Canis lupus familiaris: one gene and its partner. The protein of the gene in region 1 interacts with the protein of each later gene in a pairwise test. Links are inferred from orthologs where the notes say so. Each region holds a gene or a part of one and is shown on either strand. Other genes may lie near its edges.

The links. The genes of interacting proteins can lie anywhere in the genome.
Region 2: the proteins of TPP2 (region 1) and POLB interact in binary tests that used the Homo sapiens proteins (3 or more experiments, as listed by UniProt). The two-hybrid records come from large-scale screens. The link is inferred for Canis lupus familiaris from reciprocal best matches to the Homo sapiens genes TPP2 and POLB.

Annotation. Positions count from the first base shown.
Region 1 is NC_049243.1:52,328,116-52,332,117, forward strand, and holds part of TPP2 (tripeptidyl-peptidase 2), read left to right. Parts: intron 1-718; coding exon 719-926; intron 927-2,793; coding exon 2,794-2,913; intron 2,914-4,002. UniProt on the Homo sapiens protein: Cytosolic tripeptidyl-peptidase that releases N-terminal tripeptides from polypeptides and is a component of the proteolytic cascade acting downstream of the 26S proteasome in the ubiquitin-proteasome pathway.
Region 2 is NC_049237.1:24,044,058-24,048,987, reverse strand, and holds part of POLB (DNA polymerase beta), read left to right. Parts: intron 1-1,215; coding exon 1,216-1,286; intron 1,287-2,000; coding exon 2,001-2,087; intron 2,088-4,930.

The DNA of each region.
Region 1 (4,002 bases):
CATTGTCTGGGCACTTGGGATACATCAGAAGAGCACAGATTCCTGCCTTGCAGCAAGGCAGTTTTACCATCCCATCGTGATTAAGAGCAGGGTTTCAGAAGCAGACACTGTGTAGTTTCAAATGCTGGATCTACTGCTTCCTAACTGTTGGACCTTGAACAAATCTGTGTGCCTCAACCTCCTCCTTTGCAAAATAGGGATCATTAATAGTATCTTACTCAGAATTGTTTTGACTGTAAATGAATTAATATGTAAAAGTGCTAAAATAGTTGCTGGCACATTCAGAGTAAGCATTTTAGTGTTTGCTCTGCTTATGAATGAAGGTTCACTGCTGAAAGAACTTCTAACATCAATTCAAAACTATGTAATAATTGCTCTTTATAAGAAATCTATCTAAAAGATACTGTTCTGATGAAGTTATCTAGCTGACAGAATTTAGAGCTGAACAGACTTTCACTTCTGTTACTTTGTGGCATCCTGTTTCAACCAAACACAGCTGTCCTAACTGTTTAATCTGTATGTATAATGTAGCAGCTAGTGTGGTATTACAACTAAGGCATCTTGTTTGATGTACGATACAGATGGATATACCTAGCTATCCAACATTCCTGCATTGTCAATCTCAGGGAAAGAATGCATGAGTTTATAGTTACAGATAAGTCTGCACTTTTCAAGGACTTTTACTGATCTATGAATTGTTTTTTGATTTGGTGCCCAGTGATATGGACAAACAAAAATCTACCCTCGTGGATGCCCTCTGTCGGAAAGGATGTGCCCTAGCTGATCATCTGCTTCATGCACAAGATCAAGATGGGGCTGTTTCCAGTGATACCGAAGGGAGAAAGGAGGAAAGAGAAAATACTCTGGATTCTGTGATGTTAACTTTTTGGGAAACTACAAAATGGACTGATCTTTTTGACAATAAGGTAATCTTTGTGCTTCTTGTTTTGGCACAGTTCTTGGGGGTCACTTACAAACCTCCCTGGTGCCCCATTGGCTCCTCTCAGGTTTCCCAGCTCCCTGGTCAGAAGAGGAAGAAAATCTATGGAGTGGGGCTGTGCTGGGATCTGAAGAAGGCATTGTTTAGAGAGACCTTCATCTTCCCTGTTTCAGAATCATTTTACCAGATTTTTCTCTATCTGCACAGTGGCTCTTTAGCCAAACTAATTCGGAAAACAGCCTGAGAATGGTGTGTAGTGGCCTTTCAGTTAAATCCGTTCTCTCTGAAGCTAGAAAGAAGAACATCTAGAAATTGTGTTTGTGCCTTCCCACGTCTGTGCTGATTCATCAGGGATGGAGAGGGCAGCATTCCAGTTACTTTAGATGCTCTTTTTCTCAAAACCCTTTGACTTTTAAGTAATTATCATCTGGATTTATAGCTCATCAGTTTTAAAACCCAGTTTAGAAGTAGCATTGATAAAGTTTTTGGATTTGGGCTATAAAAACATTTTAAATCTCTTTAAGCTTTCTACCATAATTCTTACAGTAGGGATTCTGTAAGTATAAGTTTTTATCAGTCTTCCTTTCTTCTGAAGATAAAGAAAAATAAAGTAAATGAAATCGGTGGAGTTCTCCTAACCCAGCACAAGCCACTGTTTTTGTTTTCTAGATTAACTGATAATTTATAATAAAGACCTGAGATAGGAGAAGTTTCCTCTATGCCTGAGTTTTTCCCACCACAGTACTTTTATAATTTAACTAAATGTTTTATTTTAACTCAGAAGTAGAATGGAGATAGGCCTAGTTTTATGGCAGCTGTGCTCATTCTGGGGAAATGGGGTTAGAGTCAGGAAACTGAAGGATTCAGTGCGGCACCAGAGGTTAAGAATTTGGATCTGAAACCGGACCCTGGAGTTCACATCTTGCTTCTGCCACCTTGATCTGTATGACCCTGGGCAAGTTACTGAATTCTGATGCCTCGGTTTCTTACCTGTCAAATGGGAGTGGTGACAGGACACAGAGTTCCTAATGAGTGAGTGTTAAGAACAGGCAGGGCCCTGAGCAGTGTTTGCTGCCATTGCTGACATAGGACTGTTGCGTGTCTGCCTCATGCTCCCTGCTGTGCTTGCTGCTGGAGAAAGATGAAGGAGCCTGCAGGCCAAACACTGGATGAACAGCGTAGAAAAACTTATCAATGAGCCTGTTTGCCATAATACTACTGCTGTATTAGGGGCGATGCATTGTATTATGTGTCTGTTTATTACACTGAAAAGAATTGAACACTTTGCTTGGCTCTAGAATACAAATAAAAGTGATAGGATTCCTTTCTTTGAGATTGTTCTCTACATTCTAAAAGTGGAGGGCAAAAATATGAATAAATGGTTACAAGTATATTTGACAGATGGAATAATTAAAGGTACAAACTTATACAAAAGGAATTAATTGAAAGTAAGAATATGTTTATACAATATGATACCTTTTTTTTTTTTTTTTAACTTTATACCCTTTTGTAGTTTTGGTCATTCATAATGACTCCTTATAGTTTTGTACTTCTATCTTTATTTGTGTTTTTTGCAATCATTTATGTTTAGCTCCCCTTTGCATAAAGAGGTGTTTTGGTATAGATTCCAAGAGCTAGTGGTTTATCACAGTTTTATTTTTTTTCCCCCAAATAAGTTATTTTGTGGAATATTCAACTTTTGTTCTTTCAGAAACATTTTTGAAATTTGCTTGATGTAAAAATGTTTATTTTAAAAGCTGAACTTCTGTTAAGGCCTTGTTTTCATTATTAAAGCTATAAGCTATAAAATATAAGCATTTCATAGATAAGCTTTATTTTGTTTTATATTATAGGTTTTAACATTTGCATACAAACATGCATTAGTACATAAATTGTATGGGAGAAGCCTTAAATTTGCAACTAAACTTGTGGAAGAAAAGCCAACAAAAGAAAACTGGAAAAATTGTATTCAAGTAAGTGATACTAAATTGTCACTGTTAAGTGTCCCGTCACTATCTCATCATGTGACAAGATAGCTAGAAGACTTACAGTGATTTAGTGATGCTGACTCTTTCATGACTACTACATGTGTAATGTGAACTATAAAGTAAAAGCATGAGAGCTAGCCAGTAAGCTATTGACATTTTTTAACTTTTCTTATTAAATATTTATATGTAGCCTCAAATATTTTTAACATACGCAAAGTGCATTAGGAAGTTTCGATGTATAGTCAGAAGACTGAGTTTTCTCTATGAAGGAGGCAAAAATCATTCCCTTTAAATACATATTGGCTCAGTTCTAAAATGGTTGAGCTTCTAGAGTTTATATTTGATCTTACTCATTTGAAGTGATAGACCATTTTATGATTTTACCACATACCGTCTTCTGTACTAGTTAACTGTCAAGTGTAAAAACTTACTGAACTCCACAGAAATCATCCTAGCCTTATCTTGTCTCTGGACACACACAGGTGGTTTGTGCCTACAAGGCATAATGGGTTTGGGCACCTTAGTCCTATGCCAAATGTTGCAAGGGTCTGGTCTCTCTAAGGTATTCTTTGGATGTAAGTTCCTGGGGAAGCTTTTTATAATTAAACTACAAGTTATCTTCCCTCTTAGACCTTTTCTATGTACCTTCACTGGTGAGTCCAGATTGTAAGACATTTTAAATTAGCATCTTCAGGTCTTTGAATAGCTTAAGAGAACTCTTGCTGAAACTAATCATTAATGAGTGTAGTGTGATTCTCATTATGTCAGCTGTAATCTGTAAGCTCTTATGTCGGTAAAGGCAGTGACTCACCCAGATGTTCACATCAGGGGATGTTCTATAACGAGTGTCCCAGCCACTCTGTTCCTGTACTGTCTGTTCTCCACAGCACAGCTGGAAAAGAAAGGCTTTAGACACCTCCTGGTAAAGCCCCATCACATTTAGGATAAAATCCAAACTCCTTTTTGTGGCCCTCAACACTCCATGTGATCTGGCTCCTGCCTTCCTCCCCAGCCCCCTCTCACCAGGGGACCTCACTAGTCCAGCTGTATGGAGAGCTCTTCCCAGGTTTTCAG
Region 2 (4,930 bases), on another chromosome or scaffold:
ATTCTCTATTTGAAGAGTCTGTTTTTTATTTTTTTTAATATTTTATTTATTTATTTATTTATTTATTTATTTATTTATTTATTTATTTATTTATAAGATTTTATTTATTTATTCATGAGATATGCAGAGAGAGAGGCAGAGACATAGAGGGAGAAGCAGGCTCCATGCAGGGAGCCCGATGCGGGACTTGGTCCTGGGACCCTGGGATCATGCCCTGAGATGAAGGCAGACACTCAACCACTGAGCCACCCGGGTGTCACTGTCTGTTTTGTTTTTTAAATTCCATATAAGAGTGAAATCATATGGTAATTGTCTTTCTATGACTGATTTACTTCACTTAGCATAATATCCTCTGCATCCATCCATGTTGTTGCAAATGGCAAGATTCGTGGGTTTTTTTATGGCTAAGTAATATTCTATTGTGTGTATTTACCATATCTTCATTCATCTGTCGATGGACTGCTTGGTCATCTATTGATGGAAACTTGGTTGCTTCCGATTCTTGGCTTTTGTAAATAATGTTTCAGTAAACATAGGAGTGCATGTTATCTTTATGAATTAGTGTTTTTTGTTGGGTAACTACCTAGCAGTAGAACTACTGGATCATATGGTTATTTTATTTTATTTTATTTTATTTTATTAATTAATTAATTTATTGGCAATTTTATTTTTAATTTTTGGGAGAACCTCTATACTGTGTTCCAGAGTGGCTGCATTAGTTTGCACTCCCACCAACAGTGCAAGAGGGTTCCCCTTGTTCCATGTCCTCGCCAACACCTGTTGTTTCTAGTGTTGCTAATGTTAGCCATTCTGACAGGTTTGAAGTGGTATCTCATTGTGGTTTTGATTTGCATTTCCCAGATGATGGGCATCTTTTGGTGTGTCTCTTGGCCATCTGAATGTCTTCTTTGTAAGAATGTTGTTTTTATTCATTATTGAGTAGTTATTTAGGTGCATTTTTAATACATGTAGCCAACTGTGCGTAATACATATCTAATGCCAGTTACTGTTGTTACTCCAGATTCTTCCATTTACATCAGCCTATGTGAATAGCTGAACAGAAAATTGAAATCTTGTAACTGAGTATGAAGTGTAGTGAAAAAGAAAGTTAGGCTGGAAGAAGTAAGCTCATACATGTGACATCACTTTGGTTTCTGCGTTTGCCTAATTGATAGATTTACATCGAGAATTCCATACATATTTTTATTATCATAGGTGCAGAGTCCAGTGGTGACATGGATGTTCTTTTGACCCATCCAAGCTTTACCTCTGAATCAGCCAAACAGGTATCACAGGATTTATTTATAATCAAATGTGCTAAGTCTTATGCAACAGTGAATATCATTTTCTACATGGCAGTTGGATATCCCGGAATGAATTTTTGTTTTAATCTTTCTGAAAAGTCAGTTGTACTTTGTACTGATTGAATTCTGTGAAAGGCAGAGTAAGTGGTTGAAAGGGATACATTTAAAAAAAAAAAAAAAAAGCAAGGGAATACATAGTGGTGTTTTTCTGCAGGGAATTAGGGACAGTCTGATTTTTGAAAAAGAAAAAAATTTAGTAAACATTTCCAGAATTATTTATTATCTATCATGGATATTTCTAAAATATCCAGTATAATATTGAGGTTTTCATTAAGGTAATATTTTTCTATTAAGCAATATTATATTAAGAAACTTTATTCCTATTAGAAAACCCATGAAAGCAAAACATTTGTGATTTTAGAATATATACCTTTTAAAGATGAAGCAGCTAACTTTTTGATTTAATGAAGCAGATAAACACAAATGATGTCTGTTTGGGGGTATCATGATATTGGTGAAGAATGGTGGCTCCTAAAAATATGTTTCATTTGATAAATGAATTTTGTGCTAGAAGAAAAAAGTACTTAGAACAGAGGAATACTAGGCATTTCTCCATAGATAATCAGAAAATTTATGTTAAAAATGTTTTTTTATTAATCTTATTAATCTTCTTATTTCCTATTTATGTTTCCACAGCCAAAACTGTTACATCGTGTTGTGGAACAGTTACAGAAGGTCCATTTTATTACAGATACTCTGTCAAAAGGAGAAACAAAGTTCATGGTAAGTACTCATTGGAGGTAACACTTCTGAAAAAATACCTTGGAAAACTGTTCAGTAACCATTCTGAGTATGTGACCTCAGTGCATCTTAGTATTACAGTCAATAAATAGGATATCCATGAAAATATACAGAAAATTAGCAGGATACTACTCCCAGAATATTTTAGTAAAGAATTTTAAGTTCCCTATTTGTAAATAATCTGTGCCATTGGAATACATAATTAGGCGTAATCTGCTCTTTTTAAAAGATATCTATAAATGACTTTGACACATCTAAGTTTTTCCTTAAAATAGCAAATATTCTCATATTCTCTGACTCAACTTCAGTAAGTGAGAAGAATTTTTTGAAGAATATTAATCTGTTACAACACCAAAAAAAAAAAAAAAAAAATCTGTTACAACACCAAAGAGAAGAAATTAGAGTATGTGATAAAAACAAATTATGTGGCTTGATAAGCAGAGGAGTTAACAGAGAGACACTTGCAAAGATTTTCACAGTGACATCATGACGAACTGTTAAAATCCTGTAATCTTCTTAGGGAATTAAGCTTTGAAGATTCAAGACAGATGGCAAATGAGTTAAAAAAGAGGTTAATAAGTGTCCCTGCATTGGGGATCCCTGGGTGGCTCAGTGGTTTAGCGCTGGCCTTCGGCTCAGGGCGTGATCCTGGAGTTCTGGGATCAAGTCCCACATCGGGCTCCCTGCATGGAGCCTGCTTCTCCCTCTGCCTGTGTCTCTGCCTCTCTCTCTCTCTCTCTCTCTCTCTCTCTGTCTCTCTCTGTGTCTCTCATGAATAAATAAATAAAATCTTAAAAAAAAAAAAAAAAAAGTCCCTGCATAAAAACCAACAGGAAGGCAAATAGCAATCTAGGACTAAGGTAATAAAAAGTGCTCACTTAAATTTGTACTTTTAATCCCCCTTTTCCCAAGTTATATGCCTGAAATGGAAAGAGAATGTGCTTTTGGAGAATGGACATGTTAATATTAGCAAGAGTCTCACTGCATAGATTTGACAGTGGTTTAAACCAACAGTAGAAGATAGTTGAGATAGATCATTGAAATATCCTGTCATTCAGAAAGTGGAATGGTGCTTGCCAGGGGCCTATAGGGAAGTGGTATAGGGAATTACTATGTAACAGATACAGAATTTCAGTTGGGGAGGAGGAAACGTTTGGGAGGTGATGGTGGTGGTAGTTGCACAACAATGTGAATATACTTAATGGTATAGAACTGCACACTTAAAAATGGTTAAAATGGCAAACTTTATGTAGTGTATATTTCATCAGACCACAAAAAATCATGTCATTAAATTCAACGTGGTGATTTTAATGGGGTATGAAACTGTATTGCCAAAGTTGGTCATATTTTATAGTGTTTTCAAAAGAATGTTGGGAAAGGTAAAAATTCTAGTCAGTGTTTGGAAGTTAAATCTATGAGCTCTTCTCCCAGATCTATCAGATTTGGAGCTTTTACTCTAGGCCCAGGATTATAGACACATGAGATGTTATTAAAAATAGGGTTTATATATGCTCTAGGAATATCACTTTTAAATTGAGATTGATTTTAATTCATTCAAAATGAATGTGCACAAATCTTACATTTAAAGAACAATTCAATCAGATAAAATCCTGAAAATAGCATGTGCTAGACAAGTTGAATTTTTTTTTTTTTCAGTCAGGAAAGTGTCCTGGTATGCCTGGGCATCTCTGTGAAAGGCCCTAGACTTTTACTGGAGAAGCACATCAGCTCTTTTGAGAGCGACCAAGAAGGTGTTTATGCAATGCAGTAGCAGACGCACTTCTTCGCAGTCTGAACAGTTTTCTTCTTTGCTCAGAGGGAGATCCAGAGGAAACATTAGCAGAAGCTAGTAATCCAGCTAGTAAGAATACAAAGAAACAAGTTGGTAGGCTGGGTATAAGGTGGAAAGGAAAGGTGGGTAGCCACAAAGATGTGAACATGAAGAGTTGCTGGCAGTGGTGGACTTGGGTAGCTGCTCAGCCGTAGAAGAGAAGACTTTTGTCTAGCAGCCTAATTCCAGTGACTTCTGCAAACCACTTTGGTTCAGATCTTATCATACATGTGATACTTGAAAGACTAAGGCCAACTGACCGATCCTAGGCCAGGGCTGGACTTGTGGAAACCTTTGCTCTGGCTGGCCTTTCCAATCTCTCAATCATACTCCTAACAGCACATCTACAGCTATCGCCAGAAAGAGAATACCTCAAATCGATTTCCAGAAGGAAACAGGTTAAAAAAAATAAGCAAGTGGGTTTTTTGTTTGTTTTTAAAGTCGAGAAAACTAAGGCCTTTATGTTGTGTCATAGGAATCCATCTTAGTGAATAGCTTGTGTATGAAGTTTGGATACTGTACATGTGTCTCATATTCTCTGAAGCTTAAAAAATGCCATGTTTGAGCCTGTTTTGACATTTATAATTAGTATATGTTAGGATAAGGAGCAATCCAGTTTAGCTTTCAAATCAATTTATTGTGGAAGCATTAAGAGGTGATTTGTTTCTAGTTGCAAAGAAACTAGATATTCTTATATCATTGAATAGGATGATCCAAAGCAGCCAGTGTGAGGGGAGGAGTCTTGGGGAGGGCTTGAGGTAAGGGAGCTAGCCAGAGAGCAGGGCTGGAGCCAGAGCAGTGAGGAGGGGGCGTGGGCATTTAGCAGAAATAGCCAAAAAAGATGAGATCTGTTTCTGAAAGAAATTGGCAGCAAAATGAATTCCACTTACAAAGTGGAATAGAGCTGGGCACCTTGCTGGCTCAGTGGAGCATGTGACTCTTGATCTCAGGGTTGTGACTTTGAGCCAATGTTGGGCCTAGAGATTATAAAAAA